Lepisosteus oculatus: one gene and its partner. The protein of the gene in region 2 purifies or fractionates together with the protein of the main gene of each other region. This does not show direct contact. Links are inferred from orthologs where the notes say so. Each region holds a gene or a part of one and is shown on either strand. Other genes may lie near its edges.

The links.
Region 1: the proteins of stx8 (region 2) and vamp4 purify together in Homo sapiens (co-immunoprecipitation; 3 studies listed by BioGRID and IntAct, counting the BioPlex papers as one, with this or other methods). This does not show direct contact. The link is inferred for Lepisosteus oculatus from reciprocal best matches to the Homo sapiens genes STX8 and VAMP4.

Annotation. Positions count from the first base shown.
Region 1 is NC_090704.1:31,381,210-31,396,529, forward strand, and holds the start of vamp4 (vesicle-associated membrane protein 4), read right to left. Parts: upstream 6,598-15,320; 5' UTR 6,380-6,597; intron 1,991-6,379; 5' UTR 1,955-1,990; coding exon 1,889-1,954; intron 1-1,888. UniProt on the Homo sapiens protein: Involved in the pathway that functions to remove an inhibitor (probably synaptotagmin-4) of calcium-triggered exocytosis during the maturation of secretory granules.
Region 2 is NC_090704.1:44,153,324-44,168,705, forward strand, and holds the start of stx8 (syntaxin-8), read right to left. Parts: upstream 6,462-15,382; 5' UTR 6,345-6,461; coding exon 6,328-6,344; intron 5,198-6,327; coding exon 5,098-5,197; intron 4,224-5,097; coding exon 4,129-4,223; intron 3,663-4,128; coding exon 3,552-3,662; intron 1-3,551. Other genes in the region: TBC1 domain family member 24-like, read left to right, coding at 8,283-8,634, 9,146-10,181, 10,683-10,841, 13,440-13,503, 13,672-13,770, 14,288-14,585, 15,364-15,382. UniProt on the Homo sapiens protein: Vesicle trafficking protein that functions in the early secretory pathway, possibly by mediating retrograde transport from cis-Golgi membranes to the ER.

The DNA of each region.
Region 1 (15,320 bases), about 13 Mb from region 2:
ACAATGTACACTGACAGATCTGGAGCTCCAGAGATGTGATTTTTAATGCGAGGGCACAAATCTTACAGTATTTCTCAAGAACATTTAATTCCAGGAAAGAGGAGGAGAAGTCACGGCATTTACAGTCACCCTGTTACATCACAGTTCTTTCGTCTGGAATTCATAGTAAATTATATTTTTAACATTCCTGCTCCAACTGGCATCGACTGCTGCTCATTGCAACAGGATCAGTGTAATGCGTGTGGCTTGCGTGCAGAGATCACACTCAGGGAAAATGACCCTGGGTGAGGATTCCCCCCCCCCCCGTCTTCTAAAGACATACTGTATCATCTTGTCTTGTCACCAAGACGTTTCAACAGCTGCCAAAACCAACAGAAACGGCAGATGAAAAAGAGAGGGGCGCGGCCGTGTCATTATCTCAGGGCACACCGGGAGGATCATCGGTTGTGCAACATCCCCGCGCTGTGATCATCCTGGCCCTAACACGACGCGGGGCCGGCCGATACTGGTGGCCCAGAAGGTGGAAGGGACAGGCAGGAATGTCAGGGAGAAAGGATCCAGAAAGAGGAGGAGAAGGCCTCATCTTCCCCATATCTCCCAGCTCTGCCAGCCCCACATCAGCCCAATGGGCACATGCGCCCCTCTTCTGTACTGCGTACCGTCTCCATTAACAAGATCTCAATCAGGCTATCCTCTGATGAGGAAATCTAAAACAGCCTGGTGCCAGACAGGTGATCCAAGGGCTCAGGTCTATTTATCATTTACATCTCCTCACGTAGTAGAAATAAGACTTTCATGTCTACGCCTGGGTTTCAATTTTTGACTCTTCTTCTGGATGGGTGCTACAATAAACATGTTTTCAGTCGGTGGGCACTACCCCAGCGGGTGGAGGTTTGGTAACAGCCTATGAATAACATCTCATTTCCTGTAACTGGCAGAATACCAACATGCCTTTGAGGTTTATATCAAGTGTTCCTGAAACCTGTTAACACTACTGCCCCTTCAATGCTAATACGATCTAGCACAGAACTGTGGCATTGCTTATTGCAATCTATTCACTGATCAACACCCAAGTGAAATATTTATTTAATATATTAGCCATTTCTCCTTATTTGTCCAAATCTTGCCTGTTTTTTTTACCTCGTGGCTTCCCTTGTGAACCCATGTTCGTAAATAACACAACTCATGTGGAGCATTCATGTGGAAAATTAAAATAAATGTAACTTAGAAAGTTACACCATCTGTGAAAGATTTTATCACAATTTATGAAGTCACGTTACTGATACACCAAGACTACACCTTCACAAGACAGATGTCTTGAGATCAGACAGTAACTTCAGCTGGGACATTTCACCCACTAGCTGTAATTAAATACAGTTCTCAAATGCAATGTAAACAATATGCTGTATTTCATGCTGTCAGCACTCCACATTAATATCCATAAAAATATCAATTTGATTATATCTAAAAAGGCTGGTGCCTGTTCTGCGTGGGATTAATGACTCAGGTTGTTGCTGTCTAGATTAAGCTATATTATGAACAAAAGGTGCACTAAATTAGGGGTTCATAGTCCTGGTGACCCACATACCTCCTAGGTTCATTGCAGTTCAGCTGTTAAGTTTAACAGCTGAGCAAATAAGTTGCTTTTCAAACTTTTTTTCCCTTTCACAAAAACTGGTGATTTTAAGCCAATTTTGAAATGCAACTCGTGAAAGGCAACTGTTACGGAAAAAACAGTTTAGGAACCAAAAGAGCTCAAATTAAACCCATTTTCACCAGCAGGCGAGTGAGGGCCTTGAAACCCAAGGACCAGGACAGGGATCCTCAGCACTAAATAATATGTAAGGTGTGTGCAGAGCCTCTCTTTCCCTCCGTCGCCCTCTCTCACCCTCTCGCTGCGCACTGATCCCGTGACGTCATCGTCGTTGAGGTGGCGTTTGAACTTGGGCGGCATGGCGTCTCCGTGCAGCTCCTGTCCCTCCAGTTCCCCCTGCAGGCAGACACGGGCAGCGCAGCCCCAGTTAGACCTGGACACAGCCAACACTCACAGCACAGAGCCAACTCTTACCCTTTTTCTAATGTTATTAATATTTTCCCACAGTTTCTCAGTTCAATCCCCAAGCCCACACTGCCTCCCTCCACCAGCCTCTTAGCTCCAGTCTCAAGCCCACACTGCCTCCCTCCACCAGCCTCTTAGCTCCAGCCTCAAGCCCACACTGTCTCCCTCCACCAGCCTCTTAGCTCCAGCCTCAAGTCCACACTGTCTCCCTCCACCAGCCTCTTAGCTCCAGCCTCAAGCCCACACTGCCTCCTCCACCAGCCTCTTAGCTCCAGCCTCAAGTCCACACTGCCTCCTCCAGCAGCCTCTTAGCTCCAGCCTCAAGCCCACACTGCCTCCTCCAGCAGTCTCTTAGCTCCAGCCTCAAGCCCACACTGTCTCCCTCCACCAGCCTCTTAGCTCCAGCCTCAAGCCCACACTGCCTCCTCCACCAGCCTCTTAGCTCCAGCCTCAAGCCCACACTGCCTCCCTCCAGTAGCCTCTTAGCTCCAGCCTCAAGCCCACACTGCCTCCCTCCACCAGCCTCTTAGCTCCAGCCTCAAGCCCACACTGCCTCCCTCCAGTAGCCTCTTAGCTCCAGCCTCAAGCCCACACTGCCTCCCTCCACCAGCCTCTTAGCTCCAGCCTCAAGCCCACACTGCCTCCCTCCACCAGCCTCTTAGCTCCAGCCTCAAGTCCACACTGTCTCCCTCCACCGGCCTCTTAGCTCCAGTCTCAAGCCCACACTGCCTCCTCCACCAGCCTCTTAGCTCCAGCCTCAAGCCCACACTGCCTCCTCCACCAGCCTCTTAGTTCCAGCCTCAAGTCCACACTGCCTCCTACACCAGCCTCTTAGCTCCAGCCTCAAGCCCACACTGCCTCCCTCCACCAGCCTCTTAGCTCCAGCCTCAAGCCCACACTGCCTCCCTCCACCAGCCTCTTAGCTCCAGCCTCAAGCCCACACTGCCTCCCTCCACCAGCCTCTTAGCTCCAGCCTCAAGCCCACACTGTCTCCCTCCACCAGCCTCTTAGCTCCAGCCTCAAGCCCACACTGCCTCCTCCACCAGCCTCTTAGCTCCAGCCTCAAGTCCACACTGCCTCCCTCCAGCAGGCTCTTAGCTCCAGCCTCAAGCCCACACTGTCTCCCTCCACCAGCCTCTTAGCTCCAGCCTCAAGCCCACACTTCCTCCCTCCACCAGCCTCTTAGCTCCAGCCTCAAGCCCACACTGCCTCCCTCCACCAGCCTCTTAGCTCCAGCCTCAAGCCCACACTGCCTCCTCCACCAGCCTCTTAGCTCCAGCCTCAAGTCCACACTGCCTCCTCCACCAGCCTCTTAGCTCCAGCCTCAAGCCCACACTGCCTCCTCCAGCAGCCTCTTAGTTCCAGCTCAGCCTGAAGCTCACACTGACTCACCACCTCTCTCCCAGAACCTTAGGTCTAACCACTAACCCACACTGTGTTGACAGTGGAGAGGTACCATTTATCAATAGGGTTGTCACAACCAAAAATATGTCAAATTCTAATGATTTATGATTAAAATTGGAATTCTATTTTGTTTCCAGCTTTCCTGGCAGGTTTTTTGGAAAACTGTTTTCCCAGGAAACCCTGAGAGGCCAGAAGCAGCCCTGAGTTTTCCAGTAAACAAGGAACACAACGAGAGAGAGAATGCAGAGAGAAGGGATACAGAAAATGGGACAGAGCTCAACTGGGGCTGCAGGATGAACTGGAGAGGACAGAAAACAGAGAGAGTGTGATGGATGGAAAAAAGAGAGATAAGGATCAAGAAATACATTTTATTCAAAACAACTTACACAGGTGACAAATGTGATGCATGGTCGTGTGGTTTACATGCTTGTAAAATCAGGAAAATAAAACACTCATATTCAACACAGCAGCAAGTATAACTAGTAGACAGGTATCTCAGGTTCACTTACTGCGAAAATAAATTGCTGTTTGTTACAGTGTTAAAATAATTATAATTGATGGTGGTGGTTTACTGCAAGAGATGCACCTTGCCCAAGGGTTAGAGTAAGCCTATAAAATATTTATACTGTAAATACCCCTTCCTATAAAGTCCCAATCATACAGACTTTAGAGATGACGTTTAATCAATAGCAGAGAATACCATGAACCTTGACTAATTAACCCTCCAAAACATAGTTAACCCAAGGGGAGAACTGGATAATTTCCCCCAATTCAACACATAAATGAAACACACAGCAGTCTTAAAGAGGGTTTTGGTTGTTTGCAGGCGTTCTCACTGGGTGCACCGATGCCCAGACATGCTGACAGTGATTACTCAACACTACTGATATCTACACAGAAAAGACAGGGCTGCAATGACACAACCTCCAGAGGCGTCTTCACAAGTGTAGCCACATGACTGCCCACACTGTCCCAACCCTTCCTGCGCACGACAGGAGTCTCCACCTCCTGAATTACAGGCGTGATGGAGGCCTTAAAAATCAGAGCAAGCTTACCCTGGTCCTGGAGAGTACCTGCCCTGCCCGGGTTACAGGTTCCTTTACATCACCACCGGGACAAAAGGACTGGGAAAAGCACGAATTCTGATCAAGCAAAGAATTGATCCCATTACATAGTTAGGAAATCAGGGTGTAATGAAAACCAGAAGACACAGTGACAGGCTTTAGCCACCCCAGACTGAAATAATTAAGTGGAAATGGGTCCAATTATGCTCAATTTAATGATGGCGCAGTAATCTCATGGTGGTGCGATGTGCCAGTCAAGGGCAAAGGGAAAACTCCCACAGCAACGACACAATGGCAGCTCACTCTTGATAGACCCTACCCAAGTAACAACACCTCACTTTTTCTCCTGATGATTAGTCTACGTTGTGGAGCAATCAAGAGTCATTGCAGCAGCGGTGGCCAATTCCGTCAGTGGTTCCAAGCAGATCAGCGCTTTCCAAGATTGCTGGGCTCCAACCATAACTCCAGATATCAGACACCTGAAGATATCAGCAGCGCAGTGCTGGCAAGACATGGCTTACTCACTTCCGTAACTGTCCCAGATGGGAAATGTGCTTTCCAGGCAAGTAAAATACATTGGAACAGGTAAAGTTTCAGTCCATGCTGAAAAGAAAATAGGCTTCTTCTTCAGGATCCACAGCTAAAACGCTGTGTCTTTTTGCTTCTCCTAAACCTAAACCTAAACTTTTACCTGTTCCTCTGCAGCCTACGCAGGCTACCTACTTGAAGTAAAACACATAACACAACACATACAGTTGCAGATGTAACACAACATGATCCCCTTAACAAATAAGAAACATACTTGCATAAGATGAGAAAAACAAGTTAGCATCTTAAATAAACTTTTCCATTTAGACAGAAAACTGAAACTTGATGAGACAGTTGCACAAGACACAAAATATGATCAAATCTAAGCATGATAAAAAATAAAGTAAAATGTACAATATCGGTTGTCCAAACAAAGCAGGTTAATAGCTTTGGGAATAATGGGTAAATTAGTTCTACTGCACCTAAATCTGGGTAGTCTAAATCCATATCCTGACGTACACGCTCATATTCACTCTGCAAAGGCAGGTCATGAGTCAGTGATTATACTGGTCTTCTGAAGTACTGGTGTGGTACAGATGTCTGGCAGCAGTAGCTGTTGTGCACCAATGACTTTACTGACTTCTTTCACTATCCTGCTCAAAAAGGAATAATAGCACATCAACCTTCCCATCCCAACTGAAAGGCCAAAACCCCACGAGTCTTCAAACTGACCTCTCAATCACTTAACTGCAGTAATTAACCATTTTAATTAGTTGATCCCTAGTCAATGAGTGCGGACTGCTTTATAACGACAAGAACTTCGAATTGAGACCACTGTTGTGTGATGACCGAGTGAAAGAATTTAACCTGCTCATGCTGGAGAAATACACCCTACAGGAGATTATAGTAGCACGTTTAAAATTCTAAAAATTGGACAGGAAGGAGTCAAATCTTGAAGACATTAAATCTTCCACGTCACACTTCGCACGGAGACCAGAACCAGGGAGTCTCAACGGAAATTAAGAGCAACTAATTTTAGTTCTGAGGACAGGAGGCACTTCTGTTCAGGAAAACCAGCCTGCGATCGATGGATGTGTCAGAAATTAACACCTGCACACACGTTGGACTAAAGACGAGTAAATGACCAATCTGTTCGACTTTTACATCAGAATGCAATGATAAATGTTCCTCAATTGTGAGGAAGAACCAAGGGCAGACGCCAGATGCAGAGAGGCACAAACCAGCAGTCGCCACTGTTTCAGTTTGAACTCAAAATCTGAACTGAACTCGGCGATGACAGGCCAGGGGACAAAGATCTTTATACCTGCGTTGTGTCTGACGTGTCTATCGGCCTGGTCCACTCGCAGTCCCCGGAGTTTAAACTCTCGATTATTCAGAAAACAACTGTCACTCTTCTTTCATCATTGAACAGCCTCTGAAAAAGATCTGACCGAATAACTGTGACTTCCAGCCTTGCCGGCCTGCAGCTGCTGTATCCGTAATTCAACTGGGAAACACTCTTCCTGTTCACTCACAGCTGACCGGGAAGCTAAACAACTGCCTTTCGCAGATTCTGTATTCACCAACCAAGCACGGGGAACTACGCCAGTCCGCAGCGCTGTGGGGAGCGTAAAGTGTTACGCAAAAAGACTAAAGATCTTCGCTGACGGGGTGTCACGTACTGGAAGATTTCCTGTTGCTATGGGTACTGACGGAGGAGAAAGCGGAAGTAGCGGGATCAGATTGTGTGGACCTGAGCATCGTTGGCATTTGTTTCCAAACGCCCCAAACTGCACAGTCTACTAAAGAGTGAAGGCTTTTATAAAGCTTTACTCTTCCGTAACGATCTGTGATGACGGCCCACTGCAGAGGAGAGAAATCTTTGAAGTGTAAATAAGTGGTTTTCGACAGCCTTTTTTAATTTTTTGATTAATATGATAAAAAAGAGTCCCATTTTCTTATGGAGCCGAACAGTTGTATGGGCCGAGTCACAACTGCACCCATAATGACCCACCATCCGGTCCCAGTGCAGTCACATCCAAATCTGATTTGTCATGTAACATCATCCTCGCAGTGCGTGTATAAGAGCCGATGTGACATTTTAATTAAACTCGAGACTTAAATTCAAGACTCAAAACATTCTTCTTTAGAATGGATTTTATTTTCGGCGTCCGCCCCTATGCTTTTCCACTGTATTCCAAATCCTTATTGCAATTCTTCAATTCAAAATACTTTATTCAAAATACTTCAATTACATTGAGGGAGGCAATTTAATTCTGCTCCTCTCATTGTGTGCTTTTTTTTTTCTTCTTGCTAGAATATGATCATTATTGGTGTTATAACGATTGACCGGGTACATATTGTTCCATCAGCAGTAAATCACGTGAAATTGTAGTAACTTGACCACCACCATGGTTTAAAGGTTCAGATGTAACGAGAGATGGTCAAGACATGGAAATCGTATCTGTGAGTCTGTATGTACACGGTGCGTACCAGTACGCAGTCCATTAAACATAACTGGAGTTAGAAATACTGGAGCGAATTCTGAGCCGTGGCAAAACACAGCCGTGAACTTCTTGCACGTCTCCGCAGTTTCATCTCCAGGGGGTTTGGCTGAATGGAGTCCAACAGCTGGCGCCCTGCGGAATTCTCTTGTCCGTAAGGAAGTTGGGTGAAGGTCTGTGGATAGCTTCCCAGCTTCCTGCCGGGCCTCAGATGCGATATTAACAACCTGTCTGACTTGTGTTTGTGGATTTAGAACGTGGTATGGATGGGGAGGTCATGGAAAAATAAAAACAATAATGATACGAAGGAATGCTCCTTGCAGTGGGTTTATGAAATGAAGGCCAGATTGTTTGTCCCACGCTGCCACTGTGTGGGCTTTGCTCAAAACAGTCTTGATTTCATTATCCGGCAGACCGCTTCCAGGCCAGCAGTGCAGCCTCACCACATCAAACAGGGAGACCGCAGCAATCGATGGTGATGTTCCCGCATGGCCCGATGTCGCACGGGATGGGACGAGAGCCACAGGGTGTCGACTGGGGCCGGTGTCACCTCCCCACAGCTGTCCAGTCCAGACGTGCGTGGGAAGGCATGTCAAAAGGGAGAGTGGTGGGTGGGTGTCAGTACAGATCCTCAGGGGTTCAACAGCTGTCACTGCTGCTCTCTTATGAACAGAGCGCCTTTGTGATTGTGTGTGTCGATTGACCCTCTTCACAATACTAACCATTCTGTGGCCCCTGTGCTGTGACTCAGTATTGCCTATTCCCTGCAATCTGTGTGGCAGATGTAGTCCATTCGTGAGAGCTCAACACCAAAGGCATTTCTAATACCCTAAAATTTCCCCCTTTTCTTTCTTCCTAAGGTACAAGACGTACTGTATGGATTCCCTCTTAATATGGATTTGATGGATTAATCTGTTCATGGGCACTGTACAAATGAAGCAGAGGAAAAATAAACCTTCCTGTAGCCGTCAGAACTCAGCTGAGAACAAATGTCCATTTACATTTGAGACCTGGCCAAGAGACTCACAGCAGACTTGCAGAGAAAACAAAGCAGTGAAAGAATGAAAACGGAAATCAACAAGAAGTTGATGATGCAACAGGAAGTAGTGAAATGGGATGTGGTAATGTCAACAAGAAAACAAATTAAGGAACCAGGCCGAAAATATTTAATTGTGTAATTTAAAATGCTCTCGGATATGAAAGTGGACAGTTTCAGCACACCTTTCATCTTGCTCCTCTCACAATAACGGTGGCAAATTGAAATGACTTGGTCCTAAAGTTGGGAGGTTTGGTTTACTAAAGCATGCTACACCGTAAACGATGAAAGACAGGAAGGTGTTTCCCACTTAAAGATCTGTTAGTTTTAGTGGTGATTCATGTCAACCAGTGAGAGGAATTTTGATGTTAAATTGCATCTCGAAGAGATCCTGTTTCAGCCCAGCCGACTGCCTGCTGTCCCCTGATGGAAAAGGCCCAAAATGTCTACTGGGAGCAGGAGGACAGTGCTGACGTGGACAGGCTTCAGCTCCTCCTGGAGCAGGGAGGGACAGTGCTGCCCTGGGTGTCAGGCACCGTGCTCATCTGTTTAGAAAAGTGTCTTTAAACTCATGGCTTCACCTTGTTCTTAGTTACTTTTTTTGAGGGTCCATCACAGCCACGTCTCAGTTATTGTTCCTTCCATAGTCCCTTGTTTTGGATATTTTGAAGTTCATCTTCTTCAGAAGATGTCTGATGGACGGGCTGAAATCTGGCTCTACCCGCTCGGGTGAGGTCTGGCCCCCAGGCTGTGGGATGAGGAGGCTGGCACCTCCATGCAGGGGCAGCAGCACAGGTGGAAATAGCTGGAGAAGGGGAAGAGGGATTTGGGTATGATAGAGATCTAGAAATAAAGCTTTGAGAAGAGAGGTTGGGAATGATGATTTAGCACAGCTGGGATGAAGGACTTGGTTGTCATCATCTCTCCCAAAGCTAAGAGCCTTTAGTTACCCTTTCATCCTCACAAGGACAGGGTCCAGAGCCCTCCTGAGGGGATCCACCAGCCAGATGAGCATTCACAGATGACAGATACAGCTTTGGATCTCCTCTCTCTAAAGCTTAAGGAAAAAATACTCATCCATTCCATTAGACAAAGAGATGTTGGGGCTCTCTGGACAAATTTGGTTGCATTGTTATTGTTTTGGATGGCTTGATAGTAGCATTGCTGCTTCACAAACCCAGGGGCCCTGGGTTTGATTCCAGGCCTGGGGTGCAGCCTGCATGGAGTTTATGTTCTCCCTGTGTTTGTGTGGGTTTCCTCCCGCAGTCCAAAGCCATACTGGAAGGTTAATTGGCTTCTGGGAAAATTGGTCCTAAAGTGTGTGTGCACCTTGCCAGGCCAGGCTCTGGCTCCAACACAACCCTGAAGAGGCTGAAGCCGTTAGAAGAAGGGTGGGAGTTACTGTTTGATGTTCCAAACAAAACTAAACAAGCTACAACTGCGCTAGTGTTCAGAGTGTGTATAAACTACCCCCTCCTCCGCTAGCTCTGACAGGCGTCTTCCAGACCTCAGCGCTGGAACGTCTCCCTGCGAGACGTCGGAAATAAACTCCAGAGCCGCGCTCTGATGAGTGGAGCAGACTTCCTGATCCTTTCCGAGCTGGGAGGTAGGAGGGAGGCCTGGAATAGGCAGCTCTCCTCGCTTCTTTCCAAACACAGAAGAGCAGTCACCTGTTTTTAATAACAAACCGTGCGAGTCCAGGAATACTGTGACTGATATGTCCCAGATGGTCTCCCTTTTTCCAGGCCCTGGGGGCATTTCTTTGGGATAGAAGTTTATTTATCACAACTCCTCCAATCTCCACTCCTTCTCCCCCTTTTTTGAGGATTCTTGATGAATGTGGTGGGGTGCAGATAATTTTATGTACTTATTAAGGGCTCATTCAGTTTTTGTGTTAAGCTGGATTTACATGAACACAAAAATGCAAATGCGAAGTTTTGTTCCTGCACAGTAGAGTTCCCAGCAGGCAACCTGCAACATGACCTATGGCCTTCCCATAATTCATTGCAGCTTCTGGAATTGACAAGAGCTGAATAGGAAATAGACAACACTTCCATCCTGAAGTTGTGCACTGAAAATAAAAAATTAACTTGTTTTTTAACCAATACATTTTATACTAACAAATTCAGAGTACCGTTTTGTGACAATGCCATCAATTAATCACAGCCCCTGTACGTCTTCAGTGTAAGTTATAAAGTAAAGATACAATTTTTCAGACAGCGGACTCCCGTAGGAAGTTGGAAGAGCATGGAAACATTACTTTTAGCATGTGTGTGCAGTGAAGTTTGTTCTAACAAAGAATATATCAATTCTGGTTTATAAATAAGTGGACCTTTATCATTTCTAATAAATAATTTAAATGAATCTTTTGCCACACATTTAGTTCCGTTTTCAGATTATATATATACTAAAATCCCTCCTCATAAGACCCTTTGTTGTATCACCAAGCATCTCTGTCCGCGTGACTGATTATCCAAAGTGACCCAAAGGTAACTCCATCTTTGTTAATCTCACTGACCTTCTCTAAAAGAGAGCATTAATAGACCTACAGCCAGCTTTTTTATTTATATTATTTCTGCAGATAACATCAAGTCAGGAAGCAAAAATTTGCCAGAATCCCGAGGCTGGAAATTAATCTTGACCAGTCTGTTTTGACATAAGAATAGAGAGGAAAGGTTATAGACAGGAGGTTCAAGCCTGCCTTGGCACTTCTGGCTAATAATTGATCAATCAGCCAAATATCACTTGAAGCAATTTTTCAAGAGAGAGATGGGCAGCTCCAGTCCCTGCAGGCTTAATTACTTAATTACTGAATTGAACTAATGTACTGAGTCTGAATCAGTCGCAATTTAAAAGTACCTGTCAAACCTGCAGGACTCCAGGACTGTGCTAAAGGATCACAGGCCTGGGGAGACTTGGCAGTAATTAGGGAGCTACCCTAGTTGCAGACTCAGTGCAGAGAAGGGTCTCTGTTTCTTTATGTTGAATGTGCCACGATCCGTATGTACTGTAAGTGATCTGCAGCACTGTGAACTTCACACAGTGAACAGAAGAAATGCACTAACCCATTTTCTCTAGAAGAGGGCAGTACAGTGTACAGTACAGTCTACCACAGGGCACCAGCTTGTCTTCTGGGGGGTACTACACCTTTTTCACCCCAATGTTCCTGGGGGTTTGCATCTTGAGTATGGTGCTTCTGAGAGGGAGACAGAGTACATCCCATCACTCCCACCTTCCTGTACCCCCAATTTCATCCATCTATCATCCATTTCCTAAATATTTCCGATGCAGGGATGCTGGGGAGCCAGCAAGCAACGGGCGCAAAACAGGACGCACCCTGGAGAGATACTCCCAGTGCAGGGCAGACACACATACACATTCACACCAAGACCAGATGCCAATTACCTTACCAGCAGGTCTTTGGACTGTGAGAGGAAACCTACAAAAAACACAGGAAGACCATACAAACTCCACACAGACAGCACCCCAGGTCAGGAACTGAACCCAGGGCTCCAGCACTGTGAGGCAGCAATGCTACCCACTGTGCCATCCATCCCAAATACCGACGTCTCCAATTGTTTTGGCTCAGTTTGGATGCAAGTGTCTCCTGAGAACCATCAGGATGAATGTGGTGGATGCCCGAGCCAAACATGTTTAAATAAAATGCTTCCAGAAGGTACTCATCTAACTGACTCACAGGAAGAAACACCAGAACCTACTCACCTCCTGTACAGCACAACGAAACACACACAGACCACAGCCTGCCCCCTGCACACACAGACAACTTGCAGGTCAGGTGTTTATGTAGACAAGCTGCATTAAACAGCCTTTGGGGCTAATCAAAAACCTGCTCTAAATTACTGCTGGCCTGTTTAAAAGGATTCAGCACATGTAATGCCAGCTATGCAGTGACAGTGGAGTGAGTGAAGTCGAACCTAGTTCCCCCTGTGAGCTCTGCACACCCTGAGGAAGCAGTGTGTGGAATTGGGCTGAGCTTAGGAAACCTGCCTAGAAACGTTTATGCTGGTTTCCAGTGATTAAAGCACATTTTCCTTAGTTCTTAACACTGACCTAGAGATACTTCAGGTGCGTTTTTTAATACACAGAGGTTCCAATGGTGCAATATTGACAATGGCACACTCCGATCTTTAATACTGATAAAGAGACACCCTGATCTTTACTACTGACACCGATCTTTAACACTGACACACCTGTTCTTTAATTCTGATATCTAGGCACACCATTCTTTTATATTGACACTGAGATACTCTGTTCTTTAACACTGACAATGAGACACCCCATTCTGTAATACTGATGAAGAGAGACCTCAATTTTTAATACTGTCACTGAGATAACCCATTCTTTAATTCTTCCTTTAAGATATGATTATATATTTTATGATTTCTTATACATTTGTTTTGCATCCATGCAACTATGTTTTATACACACAGAGAGACTTACAAAAAACATACGAGCAGTACAAATATTACATAAAAGACATCATCCATTACATAGTCCTCTCCCACAGGAATCCGCATTAATCACCAGAACCTGTAAGTTTACTCCCCCACAATTGCCCTGAGCCCTTATAACTGCACACACATAACCACTCATTGCTCTTGCCCATAAACCATCACTCCTTAATTGTGAACTCATTGATTGCACAGTTGGACTGAGTGTGGGATAAAGGAATTCCTCATTCTGTTACATCTACATTGAGGGACTCTAAAATATTGGGTTGAAGGCCAGTGGCTATTGTTCATGCAGAACATGTGGGGGATCAGAAGATATGCTAACAGCTAACCTCAACACACTCTTAATGTAAGCAGTATGAGCGCTCTGCCCACAAACGTAGAGCACTTCCTCAAGAGTCTGGACATCTCGGCTTCTGGTTGCACAGAAAGACTGTTTTTGTGTTTAAAACTGGCACTGAGACATTCCTTTCTGTAATACTGACACCGAGACACCCTGTTCCTTTTTCAATACTGAGACCATGAAACTCCATTTCCACATCCCAATGGCCAGCATGATTTCACAAAACTAATAAAACGACCGGATTGAAACACTTATGCAATATTAAAAAATGCAGTGAAGAATGCAGTTGTTTTTAATAATAAAAAATAATACAGGCAGTCTGGTATGAAGATAGACTGCGCCGACTGTCTGAAGCTCGGTTTATAAGCTTTCCCCTCGTTATCCTGGGGTTTTAACGATCGGGGAGGTTTTACTGCGCCCCACGGCCCTGCCTGCCCACCCTCCCTGTAAACTTTCACTTCTCCCGGGGTTGGTGGGGGGCGGTTTGATGTGGCTTTAATGCCACACTTTGCAGATCCTTATAAATGCCTAGCATAACTCAAGAGTCATACTCCGGGTTGTTTTCACTTGAATGAAAACATTCAAGCAGGCTGGAGCCCCTGTGCTCCTCTCCAAAGCCTGGAGCAGGGAGAGAAAGAGACAGGATTAATAGGAACAGTACAGTCCAGTACAGGGAGGATCTATCCATCATAGAGTGGCGCCCTCTACTGAGGGGCTGCCATGGGGCAGGGGAGACACTGGCAAGTTGAAGGACCGCTGTCTTTATGCAGTTGTCTGTCTGACTTTTAAAGATTTCTCTAATGTGTCAATAGTTTGATATACTTTTCAGATGTTTTTCTGGTACAACTTGTGTATGTGCTTTGGTAGTGAATGCGAAATAAGCATGCCAGCAAAGCACCATTGAATCAACTTTGTTATATTTAACACAATAATTGCTAACTAGTGATCGATAAAGCCTATAGCAGTTTAATGTCCTTCTACTCTGCCCCCCAGGAGCACGGCTTTGTTAAACACCTCGAGATCTGCTCACTATGACACATGATGTGACTGTGAGCAGTCTGCCTTTGTGCTCATGTCTCTAATGAAAGGTATAGCTCACCCAATCATCACATCTGTTGAACAATATTGAACACGAATGCGGTCTAGCCCATTCGTAACAAGAAAACACTTCATGATCTGTACTAGCTTCTAGTCTCCAGACTCCCCCCAGTAGGGTGATCATGCTGTATTTAAGATGGCAGGCTGGAGACAGGCGACTAGCAGTGTGTGAAATGCTACTCAGCTCAGAGGGATGATAAATCCCAGGGCTGTGCGCTGGCGGAGTGAATCAGCGCTGCGCGGCTCCCACACTCTCACACAGCTGATCCATGTGTAGCATTGAGAGATGGCACCAGAAAGAGGAAGGTGGAAGAGGGGAGTGATAAAGAAATTAACTTTCAGTGCTGTCCTTCCACCATGCTCCGGTTGCATTGTGAACAATTCATTAAGTTACATTTAACTTTAGATATGTCTCTTTCACTGGGCAATAACACAAGGGTGCATTTGTGTGACACTAGTCTGTGCAAGTGGGAGTTCGTTTAGATTGTTCTTGACCTTTCTTTTTGTGGGTAGTGCATCATTGTGTGTCTGGTGCAAACAAGCAACCTCTGAGACTGTGTAAAATCAGGCTGTTTATTACAGGTCCAGACACTGAGGGAGAGGGGAAGTGGACTGTGTGTTGGCCCAGCTGCTAAACAGTACTAGAAATCACTTAGCCTACAGACAGGTGGCCATTTCCCCATGTTCCAAGTGAGGGAACCAGGACAGGGTAGCTGGTAATGTGCCAGCTTTTATGGCTATTCATGAACTCCAATAAAAGACATTTTCTCTCAACTGCCTACATAATTACCACCATGACTCTGATAAGGTGC
Region 2 (15,382 bases):
TATGTGTGCTCCACCTACTGGTCAAAGAGAAACAGGAATATTTTTCCAAGTATTGTAGGCACAAGGGGGTTAGTATATTGTACTGACTTTTCAAAGGGCTTTTATTGTTCACTTAATTGTTAAGGATGGACAGTGATCATGAAAACCCTTGTCTTTCAACAAGGGGCTGTTTTCAGGGCCAGTGCATTTCCTTCTTTACTCTCAGAAACAAGAACTGATGTTCCATCAGCCCAGGGAAGGCAACAAAGCAGTGCTTAGGCTGCCCCGTATCAGAGAGGCTAAACTATGCCATCATCCACAGTACCAACATTAGCATTAAGAGTCATTTTAAGGATCTGTTTTTGATCAAACTTTTAACCCAAGGCATTTCTTCTTCCTCAAAAAAGCACTTTCTTATTGGCACGGGTGGGCCCAGGGCACATTCTTTCATGTAAAAAGTATTCTTCATCCCCCAATCCTCCAACATCAACCACATTAAAAATAAAAAATGCATGCATTCCAGCAATTACATCTCAAGTCTGAGAGGCATAACAAGCACAGAGGCAGAAGCTACAGTAGAATATTCCGTGTATTCTACTGTGTGATCTTAAGTTTACTGTGGATTTACTGTGGATAGGGCCACAGTACATTTAAGATTAAGACCCATGTAACTCATCACACTGGGCTGTTCAGCTGATCGATAGCAATCGACAGAAAAAGGCAACAAACTGAAGAATAAGCATATGCACATCTACTGCTCATGACAGATGAAGAAAGACCATCCATGCACAAAGTCACACCATTATATTGGATATATAAGCCTTGGTCAGTATTTCCTCAACATTACATTAACATTCCATGCACATGTTCTAAGCAGGTGTAACAAACACCAACAAATATCACGACAATCACAACTTAAATTAGTACAAAGTTGTGAACACTTGACTATCACCCATGTACCGTCAACACAGTGTTGAAATTTCGACTCATTTTGCTGCTGTTCTTCAGGAATTCTGATGCTTCTGTTACTAGTTCTGCTTCTATTGTTCTACAACATAATCTGCTCAAAACGTAAAATTTTCCATAGTTAAATATGAAAAATATTTATTTGGGGGGAATTGAAATGATTATTAGTTGTTTGTTTTGGAATTCTTGAATTCTTTACGGTTATTGTATTTTGAATTCAGGAAACTTTGCTTTCTAAAAACAATTTGCCATAAATGTTCTACTTTACATATTATACCTTAATCAGCCCATTAAACAACCTAAACCTGCAATCAAAACTGATAACCATTGATTCTCATTTGCTGTAGAGGGTGTGGGAAAGGTGCTTTAGGCATTTAAGTTTCCCAGGAAGATCTGAAATGCAAAACAATAACACACTTCAAACATTACTCCGACTCATTAAAAAGATGTTCCACAATCATATGCCGATTAAGAGCTGATTTGACAGACTGATTCAAATTAAAGGCTTCCTCATTTTGTTTTAAGCAACACTATTGTAGAGTCGTACTAATCGGGGTCTGTAACCTCTAATGAATTCACTTTTTTTCCTCTTGCAGACTAAGCAATAGTCCAGGCAATTTGAGGCAATTTGCAGCACTGTCTCTCTCCAGCAACAGGCCTCTATTAATCAACAGAAAGACATGGTGAGAGGCCTCCAGCCAGCGCTAATCTTTCTGACATATTTGGTAACTATCTTACCGCGGGACAGCTCCTTACTTCCTCCTTCCTCTGATCTTGCCATGTTAGTGGTGTGAAGATTAAACTTTATCCAATTAGCCACCCACTGAGTCCGCCAAGTTAATCAGGCGCATCTGCGCACCGTCACACAACGGTGACGCGAACAGATAGTTTCTGATTTAAAGGGGCAGATGTAACTAATTACTAGTTTTTGCATTATGATCAAATATAAAAGAGAAAGCTGGGGGTGGTGGGGGCTGGGCGGCGCTGGTTACAGGCCTTGAAATTTAGGCGCCATGTCTCTCTTTGCTTAGTTAAAGGCTAATCTCCCAAGAATGTAGTGTTTCACTGGTGGATCTTTCAGAACCTTCCCTTGAAAACAGTGGGTGGGGGGGGACACTTTAGATTATTCAAGCAGGCCTAACACCCCTAGACAAAGACCACACACTGAGGAGTATAATTTCACCCCATTTAAAATAATGTTCTACCAGACAGAATTAAAATCGTTAAGCCACATGCACAGTGCCACCTAATTAATAAATTAGCATTAACTTCAGCCGGAAAAGGCTGAATATGTTTTGGATCTGCTTAGGTTAAGAATTTACGTTGCCTTTAGCACTGTAAGAGAAATTAAAAATACTAAGAAAAATGTAAGGTATCCAATATTAGTTTGAAGTGGTTTGTTTTAATACACACGGCCACCTGCTGTTCAACAGTCTTTGTCATCAAAATGTTTTTGTACCACTTATAGGTCATTCAATAGCATCTGACCAGTTGCTTCCACATACAAGTTCAAGCAGTGCAGACCAAAAAAAACTTACTGCCCTAGTTAAGTCATTCAAGGAGCCTGATCCTGTGAAATTCAGAGGTTAGGCTTTCATTCAAACAAACACGAGAGGAAGTCCAAATCACTGTTATCCAACCCCACTTCCCTTTGTTTCTAAAGCCATGTGACCCAGGTCAGCACGTCAGACAAAATATAATATAATGATGGCCTGGTTCTAGCTACTGTACAAAGCTGTCACTTAGACGAAGAATAATGTGCACTCAGGATACAGCTGACAGCATAGAGCTCTTTACTATATTTTATCCACTTCATAAAGGATGTGCGCTCAGTGAACAGTGTAAACTATAAACTAAGTTTTTTTCATTAAATAGCCCCGAGGTTCTTGTCCAGGATGTGCCAAGCATGTGATCACTGGAGCAGGATTTTTAATGAATGAAATTTCTCTTAACACTGCTTCATATCAGGAGAAAAGGTCAGGCCATATCAGACTGGATGAGTTTGTCTTTTTCTCCAAGTACTCAGTTTCATAGTGTTTTTTTTTTAACCATATTACTGAAGACAACTGATACTGTTCCTCTGCCTTCGACCACAAATACCAGTAAACCAGAATATCACCTTTCCAGCTCTTAAAGCATTTACGCATACACTGTGAATACAATATTAGATTTTCATAACTCTTTCCGCAAGGAAAATACAGCAAAGTACAATTCAGTACAAATTGTGAAAAAAACAAAGGGTTTTTCACAAAAAGAGTGGCCTTAGTGTGTTTTATGACCTTGTGGTTGTATGTCCCTAATAAGACATTAATTTTTCAAATTACACCTTAGATGTAGTGATTTAAAGCTAGCTGGTAACACAATTTAAAGTTTGTGTTCTTTGCATTAATTATTTCACAACTTTTTATGTTTTTTTGTTTAACTTCAGCATCACAAACATAAGAATTTGCAACTGCAATTACAATTCACCTTCTTGACTGTTTACGTTCATGTTTTCTTGCATTTTACTAACAATGGTAAAAAAAAACAATCATGTTTGAAGTCAGTCACACAACGTCACTTTTCCGTGACACGGTGAAGTCACAATCTTAAATTTTTCAAAGTACCTTGAGGAGTCGGGCTCTGTGCCATCCTTCTTAAAAGAGGCGTCTAGCTGTTCTTCCCGAGTAAGAAGATCATCCAAGAGGTTCTGTCTTCTGTCTCCTTCTGACTGCATTCTGGAGGTTCACATTATTAAGGTCTGACTTAATGATTCAACGAGGCTTAAGAGACACAATGAACAGAAGCAGAGCCCTCCTTGTTGATGTACCATGCAAGGTGCATTATAAAATAAAATACATTCAACATTAGTGATGAGTGAGGTTTTGATGCCGGCTAACAAGCTATCAATTTATCTCAACTACATCTCTCTGAAAATCAATTACAGATGTGTGCACCTGTCTTGTCTCTGCTGCCCCACCTGTGCAGGACACACCTCTCTCCACCCACGGAGAGGAATAGGTGATGCACACAGAACCGACTGGTCTGAACCTGAAAAGGGGGTCTCCAGCACAGAGACAGAAAATCAAACCTTTCCCCCCATTCCTTGAAAAACACTGACCTCTTCTGGGCTGGAGGGGGAAAAACACAAACGAGGGAGCAGAACACAGAACCCTCCAGGGGGCGAGGGAAGGGAAAGGATACATGCGACGGGTGGAGGTGGACGTGAGCAGCCTCTCTCGCAGATGGGCGATCTGTTGCTTTAGCCTCTGCAGAGACGCTCTGATAGTCATGTTGAGCTGGAGAAACAAGAGGAGCCCACATTCCTGTCACTCCCGCGTCCAGAACACAAACACATTTTAAATCTTTAGAGAAGAACAAGGAATAATTCAATTACTGATAAGAACATGCTTAAAATCATTTTCCTTCCCAATCACTTCCTAAGATTGGCCTGTTATCGGGGATTACTTTAACACTAGTGTTGTCTAAAGCAGGTAGTCTAGTGATGATTAATTATGATATCATATATCATGTACAAGGTATAATGTAAAGGAACCCACATCATCCATCCTTGAATACAGCCCTCATTCTGCACCAGCAGCCCCACTGTACAGCAGATCAGGCAGAGAAGTATTAGGGGTGAGTGAGAGGGAACTTCAGGGGGGGCAGACTGTGCAAGCCCAGAGGGGAATTACTGCAGCCAGAACCCTGGGGCTACTGCACCTCACCTCTCAAAAAGTGCCACGGAATCATTAATGACCGAGCGATCAAGACCTCGGCCCGACGTCTCACACAGAGGACGGAATTCCTACAGGACCCTGTCCCCAGCCGCTACACCGGGACACCGGTCTTCCGGTCCCAGATGGACCGCTGACAAATATCCAAACAGAGACAACTGGAAGTTCTGATCCAGAGGGAAAAGCGTGACCAACTAGTCCACTGACGTCACCTGTAGCAGCAGTCTGGCTTTCCTCTGTGGTCTCGCATCCCAGTACCGAATTGGTCCAGCTCTGCCGAGCTGCCAAGATCTTACAAGATCAGACGCCAGGCTGACAGTACTGCCGCCACCTACTGTTCATTGCATTTGTGAAGAAAACGAAACGCGAGCACAATCACGACACATGCAGGCACGTGGAAAAAAAACTGGGGTGAGCACAAGGGAGAACGCCTTGCCTTGGCAGGGTTTCCCCCGGTCCGGTGCTGCCGGTTCCGCTCGTGAATGTTTTCAGCAATCTCCTGGGCCAGCCGGCAAGTGGCATCATAAACCTGTAGCCTTGAAAAGAAAGAATCTGCACGTGGATGTGTTGGAACGACAACTGGATCCGTGTTGGAAATGAACCCACAAGTGCTTGGGTTACTTTGTTTCTCGTCTGGCCTGCAGCTGCACCTTATATGCAGGTTGTTTAACAGTAGTTTAAAGAGAGGAAAGCCCACCGGCCCAGTCTAGATTTACTGCAGAACAGCCTGCCCACTGTGCTGCTGTGCAATGGAAATTCAGAAAGTGAGTTATTTAACCATAACCAGTGATCAGAAATGGGGCCTGGCCTTTGTTTCTCGCTTGCTTATACATTAGGGGAAAAAAACTACCTAATGTTAGCAACAAAAACAAATTGCCAAGATTTTCAAGCAAGCTATTAAAATTGCTAGTATTAATTTTAGAATAACAATTCATAATACTGTATTTCTTTGTCCACGTTACAGTTTAGGAAAGCCGTTGTATCACGAATTCGTACTAATATGAATTCTAATTCATGACTTGACCACTGCCATGTGAATATTAATAAAGACCCATAGAAAATGCACTATTCTCACGTCACAGAAATACGACAGAGGCAAGCTATAGCTAAATCTTTTTAAAGACAGAGACAGCTGCACACGGTTTATTAATGATGCTCAAGATCTGTTCCGAACTCCTCTTAACATCACCCACAGTACGGCTAAATGCTATGACACAAACACTACAAACATCCTTAAATAAACACGACACAGAGAACAATATCAGCAAGTTACTTCTGGGATGTTATATGTAGAACTGGTCGGAACGGTACTGAAATAAAGAACAGTGTTTTATTAAAACAGGTGGGAAAGCTTAAAGGCACTTGAGGGGAATATTCTGAGTCTATAAATTAATTGGGAAGCTACTAAAATTAACCCGTTCCGTGCCAGAGCAGCGTTTTTAAAACTTCCGTAGCGCTTGAATCGGGAATTACAAAGACCACCAAATTAAATTACATGATGCAGCAACGTGCAAAATCGTCACCAAACCAGTCTTCAATGTGCAATATAACGAACAACAACAACTGTGATAAACATTCGTCCTATAATCCTATTTGTAGCCCGTAGTGCCAAAAAATCACGATGAAATAGAATGTAACACATATATTTATTTTGTAACAAGCTTACCAAGGATCCTGTGACATCGTTTGATCAAAAGACTCTCCAAGAATTACTTAATTCAGTAAATTTGACTTAACTATTTTGCGAAAGGCTAACAATCCCACTTCCTGTTTAGGTACTTGTGTCATGTGATTATATACAGCTCACGACGAGGGACATACTGTCTAAACTCGTGAACCTGCCCTTTAGCGTGCAGGGAGAAAGAGATTAAACATTTTCTCACCTTTCTCACATCAAACTTCGGGTTTGATGACGCGTAATCAAACGTTATTGTATCGTTGCATCAACATATTTTGAGAGAACTCTTAAGTTCACACAGATACCGGCCTCTTTCTCTTACAATCTTGGTGTTGCTGGTTTTGAGGAAAATAGCCCAAAGTCTTGAAGAGTCCAACTGCGATTGGACAAACTAAGACATAGTGTGCAAGCTGTCTGAGCAGACAGATAACTTATATAGTTCAGGGGCATTTTTTCCAAGTCATTTTTCATCACTTCAAAAACAGGACAAATCCCATTGTGTACCTATACATGACAATCTATGTAACAGATTCTTGAGGTAATCACTCTCCTGTGAGATGGGACATAGCAGTGTTACTATGGATAACTTACTCGCCAGGCTTGATCACCACTGAACATGTCTGGCTGGAGCTGGAGTGAGGTGGCCTTGAGGGCTCAGAGACCAGTGAATAGCACCTGCAATTCAGGCTCTGAGAGGAACGCAGAGCCTAAGACAGAGATATGGCAATGCCCAAACATGATATTAGCCTGTGACTTTTACCATAGACCCATGGAGATGAAAGATATTGATTAGCATAATACATCCACTGGTGTCATGTATGTCCCATAATTGTAAAAGTACACAAGCAGCAAAAAGCCTTTTCCTGATGACTTGAATTTGCTGAAAGCAATACAGTTCTTTGATTGCTTGGTAACTGAAGGATTTTAAAATGTTCTCCTTGTATTCTGTTCAAAAGGCTCTAGTTTAATTGTCCTTAAACATGTAATCAGTAGTGTCTTTTGCTTCTCACAAGCAGATCTTTCAGTATAGACATGTTAACTTTTCATTTCAGCAATTTCGACAGCAGTCTAATATTTTTCCGCACAGCCCGTATACAACACCCCCATGTAAAAGACGAGAAGTGTTTCACAACAAACGGATCGTGTTTAAACATAAGCAAAGATGTACTGCATGAAAAAAAAACTAGAACATTCAGGTTCTTGGAAAACTGTTTGTTGGTCCCTTTACCTCCTTAGCGCATTGCAGAAAAAGGTTCTGCTGCACAATTTTATTAAAGCAAATTCCTAAAATTATTGAAACATCATATGTATTTCACAGGACTGGTGTCTGAACTTCACGTTTACTCATGTAAAGCAGAAAAACAATTTAAAATTGACTTTCGTTTTGGATATGTATATTGACATAGTTTATTCAGTACCATGTTTACAGTATACCACGTGCCTTATCACATTCAAAATAAGCCAGAATATGATAATGAGGGTATATAACTGCTAATTTGTGAGAAGCCATGTGTATAGTGTATCCATGGGTAAGATCAGTAAACACACATCATGTTCTTGCTGAGATAAGCAATACCATTCTGTGCTTTGTTTTGGATCAGGTGTCTTTGCTGTCACAGGTCATGCTACAGGACAGGCCAGGCTGACAGCAGCGTGTGAAGCCCAGGGTCTGCAGGCAGGGTTGTGGTGGAAGAAGAGGAGGCTCTGGCTCGGGGAATTTTCCATCGCACGGCTGGAGGAACATGGAAACGCCAAGGCTGACCCGGCCTTCCCCGCCCAGCCCACCGGATGACATCACAGCCGCGGTCCCGACCTTGAGCAAAACCTGTCAACACGGAGGCCCCGGAGAACACTGTTGCACCAACAGAGGACAGTCAAGAGGAACAGCTGAAGCTCCCAGCCCGCCCGCAGTCCTGACAGTTCCACCGTAGAGCTTGACGGACATGGAGAGGCCAGTCCCGCAGATAAATATTTCAAAAACAGACGAGGAGCTCCCAGCCCCGTCGAGCTCCGCAAGGTCAAGGTCACACTCCTGCCAGGACAGGGAGAGCCGCCCCGCGGGGCTCCCTCCGGAAGATGAGCCGACGGAGCCGGGGGCGAGGAGACCCCGGTCGAGGTCCTTTTACAGTTTCGAGACGTCCAAGAGCACCAGCGATGGACCCCTGACCAGGTCCAACGCCATGAGGCCGCGATCTAAGTCTCTCCTGAGCGGCGATGGGATGCTGTCCTGGCTGCAGTTCCGGAGACCCAGGACAAACTCCAGCGGCAAAAAGCCGCCATCGAAAGACCTAGATGGTATGCCTGATAAAACAGTGGCGCACTACATGTGCTTCTCCTCATTTCATTCATTACCAGGATCTAATCTAAGAATAAAGTAAAGAAATTGAAAATATAATATTTCAGCTGTCCAAGAGTAAACAAGTTTACTAAAATAATGTATTATTATTGTTATTATATTATATATATTAAATTATATATATAATTTGTATATAATATTATTATATGATTATATCATGTTTTATTACATTATTTTTATTATATATTATTTTAGATCTATGGCTGAAGTAAAGAAGCTTTGTGTCTTTGGAAACCTGGTGAACTTATTCATGTTTAGTTCAGAGTTTTAGGAAGAGCTTATCTAATTAAGATACCAATGCAAATATCTTGTTATACCTGAGTAACTAAACTGGTAATCGTTTAATTTCATCAGCTTTATTAATAGTACATTAAGAACTGAGGCAGAATAAGAAACAAGGTTTCTTAAAGTGTTCAGCCCTTAGTGTCTGTATCATATGTTTTCTCCTAGGAAGTGGAAAGAATGTGCTAAACATTCCAATTCTGACCATTTCGGAATCAGACAACTGGGAAGTTAGTTCATCCTCCACAATGAAATACTGGCAATTCGTAGACTGGGAAAAAATGGAGCCTAAATCTGCCCTAAACTACCAGAAGATCTTACAGAGTGACTGCAAGCAACTGAAGAGCATGGCCAGAGCAGGTTTTTGGTCCACAAGCCACACTCTGAGAGCCAAGGCCTACCACCACATCATCCATGGCATCAGCTGTAGGTCTGTCACCCCAGACAGGGAGATCTACCAGCAGCTCTCTGAGAAACTGTTTGGGAAGAAGAAAACAAGCACTCACCCTTTCCCAGAATACATGGAGAATGGCGCAATCCCCATGTACTGTCTCAGCAAGACTGGGGTCAACTCGGTCAGGAAGATTCTCCTTTGTATCGCGGCACATTTCCCCGATATCACACACTGCCCAGTCCTGCCGGCCCTGGTGTCTCTGCTTCTGCATTTCAGTGAGGACGAAGCGGAGTGCTTCCACAGTGTGTGCAGACTCATTGCTTACAATGACCCGGACAAGCGCTACATAGACCAGACGTTCCTCGCCCACAGAGCCTCCTGCATGACTTTCCGAGACCTCGCCAACAAATACTGCCATGGTGCCCACAAGCTCATCGCCACCTCCAACCAGAGTCTGTTTGACATCTACTCAGATTGGATAATGTGGATCTTTGGTGCCGGGCTTCCATTTGAGTACGCCATCCGGGTCTTGGATGTGTTCCTGCTGGAAGGCTACAAAGTACTCTACCGGGTTGCTCTGGTTCTGCTCAGTCTCTACAAAGGTTCTGTGCCCTCCACGCCCTCCCACATTGCCGATATCAGACAAGACATCATGAGCTTTGTAGGGAACATCTCTTGCCATATCACGGTGGACAAGCTGCTGGAGAAGGCCTTCAGCATCCGCCTCTTTTCACGCAAAGAAATCAACCTGCTCTTGTCTGCTAACATGAGCGCCCTCCTGCAGAAGGGCATTAGCATTCATCAGAAGAGGTGAGAACAAGAAAACACAAAGATTTTTGTTCAAGATGTTTTGAGGGTTTCTCAATTAGTTCAATTAGTTTAAGTCTCAAGTCCGGTGAAAATACGAACGCTTTCCTGAAATGTTAATGGTACATTTCTTTTTAGCAAATGTTGTGACCATCTTATGACTTGCAAATAGTATTATTCAGTATGTTTTCTTTTGCTGCTATACCCTGTACAGGGTAAAAACAGACTTGAGTTTTTCTGTAAAGTTTCCTTTCTGGAGAATTTGGGACTTTGTTTTTTTTTAATTCTGTTTTCTGTAAATGATTGTAATTCACCTGGTACCGGGGAGTGGAGCTCTGGTTTAGCTGGCTGGGATGTTCTGAAGAACCAAGATTAAATTCCAAAATATGCAGAGCTGCACGTTACACTTTTTTTCTGCTCTGTGATCGTGCAATATCATATTCCAAATTGTTTCAGATCTGGATTCAGTCCTCTTACCAACATGCTGGTACTCTCTCCCCACAGGATGTCCGTACATCTAGCAGTGGATCTGGATAACTTCAGCTCCAGTATTGTCACTGGACAGGAGATGAGGATGGTTTGGTCCTGGATTCCAGAGCGCTTTGCCCTGTTCCAACCCATCATGCTGTTCACCACCAGTGAGCATGGGCGCAGCCTGACGTCGTGAGTAGTCCCAGCTCTTCCTGGATGACAGCGTTCACAGATAAACGAACTCCAATCTCAAACACAACCCTTTAAAAAATGGTGGCTTATTAAAAAGTATGGGAATCTTTCAAATCAATCTGTCTCCAGTAAATAAATATGCATAGATACAGATCAGTCCAGTATCTTTATCACTAATTTTAAAGGAATAGATTAGATTCTCTGATTTTCATTTTCTTTTTTAATTTAAAAAGGGAGTGCACCCTGTGGGAAATGTTTCCCCTCAATCGAAGTTAAACTCCTTCGCGAAAACATTGCAAAAGCAATAAAGCATTTCATGGAACAGAGCAGTTTTGACAAAATAATAATAAAAGTACATTGATGTATTCTGGCTTGGGGATAGCAAACTGAGCCATGAATCATAGGCCAATGTTGTCATTGTTTAATGCACATGAAGCAAGTTCCATTTCTGAAAACAATGCTTCCTCTATGGGTGGTCCATGCCTTTAAGGTTATACTACAGTTATTGTACTATTTGAAATATGTTTTGAATTTTAATAGGAAAAGGGCCCATTGTGATATTAATGACTCTTTAACTCATAAATCCTTCTGCTTAAAGCATGACCATTTGGAAAATAATAGCTGAGAATGTATGAAGATGCAGATTATAAGCTTTGCAAAAGACAGCTGCTGTTACGCTCGTCTCAAATCTGCATGACTGTCCTTTAGTACACTATAAAGAACTACCTTTTGCCAACAAAAAGCTGTGAGCAATATGTTTAGGTTAAAAACGTCTTGAGAGAGCAAACCTTTACTTCATGAGCTGCCAAAGCTTTGCCTACATTTTGCTCAAGTATGCTCATATGAAAGAACAAACAGTTTCTTTCAGGCTAATAATAAATGTTATTCTGTATGTATAGAAATAATTTCAAACTGCTTAAAAAGGAAGAAATGAGATGTAGACGGTCCAGTACGAAATGAGCTTTTCAGCTTACTATCTCTGAAGTTTAAAAGCCAGCCCCAGAAAGGAGCGTAAACCTTTGGGGATCCAAATAAAAATATGGAAAGGAAGACAAATGTGAAAATCTGAATATTTTAGTTAGCAAATGTTGTTTTTATTGTTCGGATATCTGGGTACTGTAATTGGAAGAGTACAAGACAGATATTTGAGTGATTTCTTCTTCATTGCTCTCAATTAAATGACATTTACAAAACAGGCATTGTTGCCCATAAAGGGGGCGTTTTCTCAAGCCTGGGAAGATGGAGGAACTTTCTAACATCTATGCCATGAATCACCAGGGCAGGACAGTCCAAGAATAAATCACATGACTGTGACATGAGAATGTGTGATTCTCTACATTGGTCATATTTTATGAGCAGTCTTGGTCCATAAATTTGTCTGACACATTGAGGGGCTTTTTACTAATCTGTTATTTAATTGCACATGTTTTAAAATGAAAACTATTGCCTTTAAATGTCAGAAAAGCAGACAGAGAGAAATGGAAAAACAATGTGCCGCTAATTGTACTTTTGAACTTTAATATGCCTTTTTTTTTAAATAACCCTGATCAAAAGGAGTTCTCGTCAAAAAGTGAAAGGGAAGGGAAGTCTTAAGTTAATAGCTCTTTCATGAGCTGACGTCTCTGTCCTCATGGTACAGACACTCACTCAAACAAGCACAAAACCACTTGCCACACAGCTGGGTGGTCTGAGCAGGATGTGGCCGTGCCTCTGACTGCTACAGTGAATGGTTCTGACCAGGGCCTGACCCTCTGACCCTCGAACACCTTTAACCTTTCTAAGGGCAGCATTCCGCGAGAACTAGCTCACTGTTCTCAGCCCAAAGCCGACATACGCATGATCATTGAGGAGGGCTTCACTTGACAAGATACACAGGTAGGTAATGAGGTAGGCACTTCAGCTGGCAACTCCTGTAACGAGCTAGACTGCCTGTAGCGAGACTGGCAATTAAGCTTAGATTAAGTCCTTCAGGAGCCAGTGGTTTAGTCCTGGTTTCTGGAACATTTAGCACACTTAAGGTACAAAATTCCCCTTGTGACTGTAGTCCATCAGGGAATAACACCTGCCAAACCTATCTAAGGTTAAGGGTATGCAACCTGAAAACGAAATGCACTGACGCGACGGCAATTTTGCAGGTTGAAGGCATATGTCCAGATAAGATCTGAAATTTTGTTGCTCTCGTTAGTCCATTGTGGTTTAATATCGCAGAATTTTCTCTCCATGGAAAAGAGTGGCTGGCTGGCAGTACCAAAAAACGTGCTGAGTAATACTGCCTTTAACTGGAATTTAAAACAAAGACACTCATCCTTAGATGGGTGCCTGCATGAAACTTGTTGGAAAATTGTTCATCTTTGCTCCTACTCACATTGAACTTTGGCATATTTATACTGTAATTACAGTATCATAATAGTAAGCGTATATTAGAATGATAATAAAAGCCCACAACCCATACGTTGGCCAGACAGATTATTAATGAGGATTAATAATTAATTTGTGTAGGTTGCCATGCATTGTGTGTACTCAGTGCTTTATTAAACGGAAGAGACAAAAGTGATCATTTTCATCCTTGTTAAAAATAAATTGTTGTTTTTTCCTCAGGTTCTATTCGCAAGTTGAAGGCAGTGAACCGACTGTTCTTCTGCTCAAAACTGAAGACGAGGAAGTGAGTAGATAACTGTTTTTTTAAGAACTGAAAGTCACAAAAATGCTTTGTTTAATAATGAAGGTATGATGTCAAAACAGGCATTTCCAACAACTGGTGCTGTGACTAAAAAGCTCAGTGAAATTCTGAGCTCTGAGTGATGTCAGGACTCCTCTCTTCACTCCGCAGGTCTGCGGTGCATTCCTCTCGTCCGACTGGAGCGAAAGAAACAAAGGTGGTGGGAAGGGCCTGAGCTTCTTTGGCACTGGGGAGTGCTTCGTTTTTACCGTGAGTGAAGGACAACTCTAAAAAATTTAAATAAAGCAAAACTATCTTCCAGATGGGTGGCATGATAGCGCGGCTTGGATTCTGGATGGGGACCCTTTCTGTGTTGTTTGCGTGTTCGCTCAGTGTTCTCATGGACCCAGGTACTCCAGTTTCCTTCCAGCTTCCAAAGACGTGCTAACTGGGTTAACTGGTGTTTCTGAATCGTCCGAATGTGTGTGTGCGACCTGCTATGGATTGAAGTCCTACATTGCACCTTATGCATCTGGGAAGGGCTGCAGGGTGCTGCAGCCTTCACCAGGAATAACTGAGCAAGCAGGGGTGTTTTTGTGCAGCATTTCAGGGAATAACAGAATAACAGAACAGTAGCTATTGTACATTATGTGCATTATCTACAACCAGTTTTAGAAAGACTTTCCAGATATTCACCCCTCCTCATGCCTCTTTACAAGCATGGCTCTTGACCATGCATGGGCCTCGAGAGGTGACAATCGGCTGATCTGGCATTTCCTCTCCACAGCTGTGCCCTGAGATGGAGCGTTATGAGTGGGCCATCCTCCACCAGCCCAAGATCGCGAAGGAAACCCACATCCACTCCTCACCACACCTGAAGCCTCCCCCAGCCCTGGCCACTGAGGTCCCACCTCCTGTGACGCTGGCCGGCCCAGGAGGGACACCCCAGGATCCCAGCTACCTGACTGTCCCGTTCTCCGTGCCCTCTGAAGGCCCCCCGCCCGAGCCTGCTCCCAGGAAACCCCCAAAGCATCCTTTCCCTGCCTCGATGTTCATGGCAGGGGGCACCGAAAGGATTATCATCGGTAAGGTCGGGAGCAAAGAAAGTATCTTCCACTTAGCCCAACACATCCCACGCAGCAGACACCTCCCATCTTCACAGGGGATGTGCTGTAAGAACAGTTTCTGAATGACAGGAGGCCGTTCTGTCTATCTTGCTTTGTGAGGTTGTCAACCTATGAATTCCATCTAATTGTTTCTTAAAGGGTCCCACAGTCGACTCAAACCACAAGACAAGAGGGTGGGTTCCAGTAGACCACTCTCCTCTGTGAAAATGAGTCTCAGAAAATCTTTGGGCTTTTTTCTGATACATTTTATGTCCTACTTCTGTTTTGAATGTGTGGTCCTCTGCAAGGTCTCTGGGTTGCACGGTGTGTCAGTTTTCTACGGGCTTGTTTGTTCTTCCAGCCTTTCTGTCTCCACGTTCCTCCTGAAATTCCCTGTGCCACGTTGTGCAGGTGAACCACGGAAAACCAGTTTTAAGAAAGGAAAATGAACATACAGGAAATTGATGGTTGAGATTAGGTTGTTTTTTTTCTTTAGTCAAGGTGTACTTTGCCAACATGTTGGCTAGCATGGAATAATTTGTGCCCTCTGTACGTGTGTGGGGACCTAATGACCAGGAAATGTCAAGGCAATTTAACAAGGTCCTGGTTCCTAATACGAGCTCAGCTGCTCAGATCATATTTTGATGTTTATTTCCAGTGGACAGACTCCCATCTTGGCTTAGAGGATTTCAGTATTTGCAGAGTTAAACACGCTGAGCTCCTGACATCCTGCTCTCCTGCTCTCTTCTCTCTCCAGGAGGCGGTGGGGGTCAGGC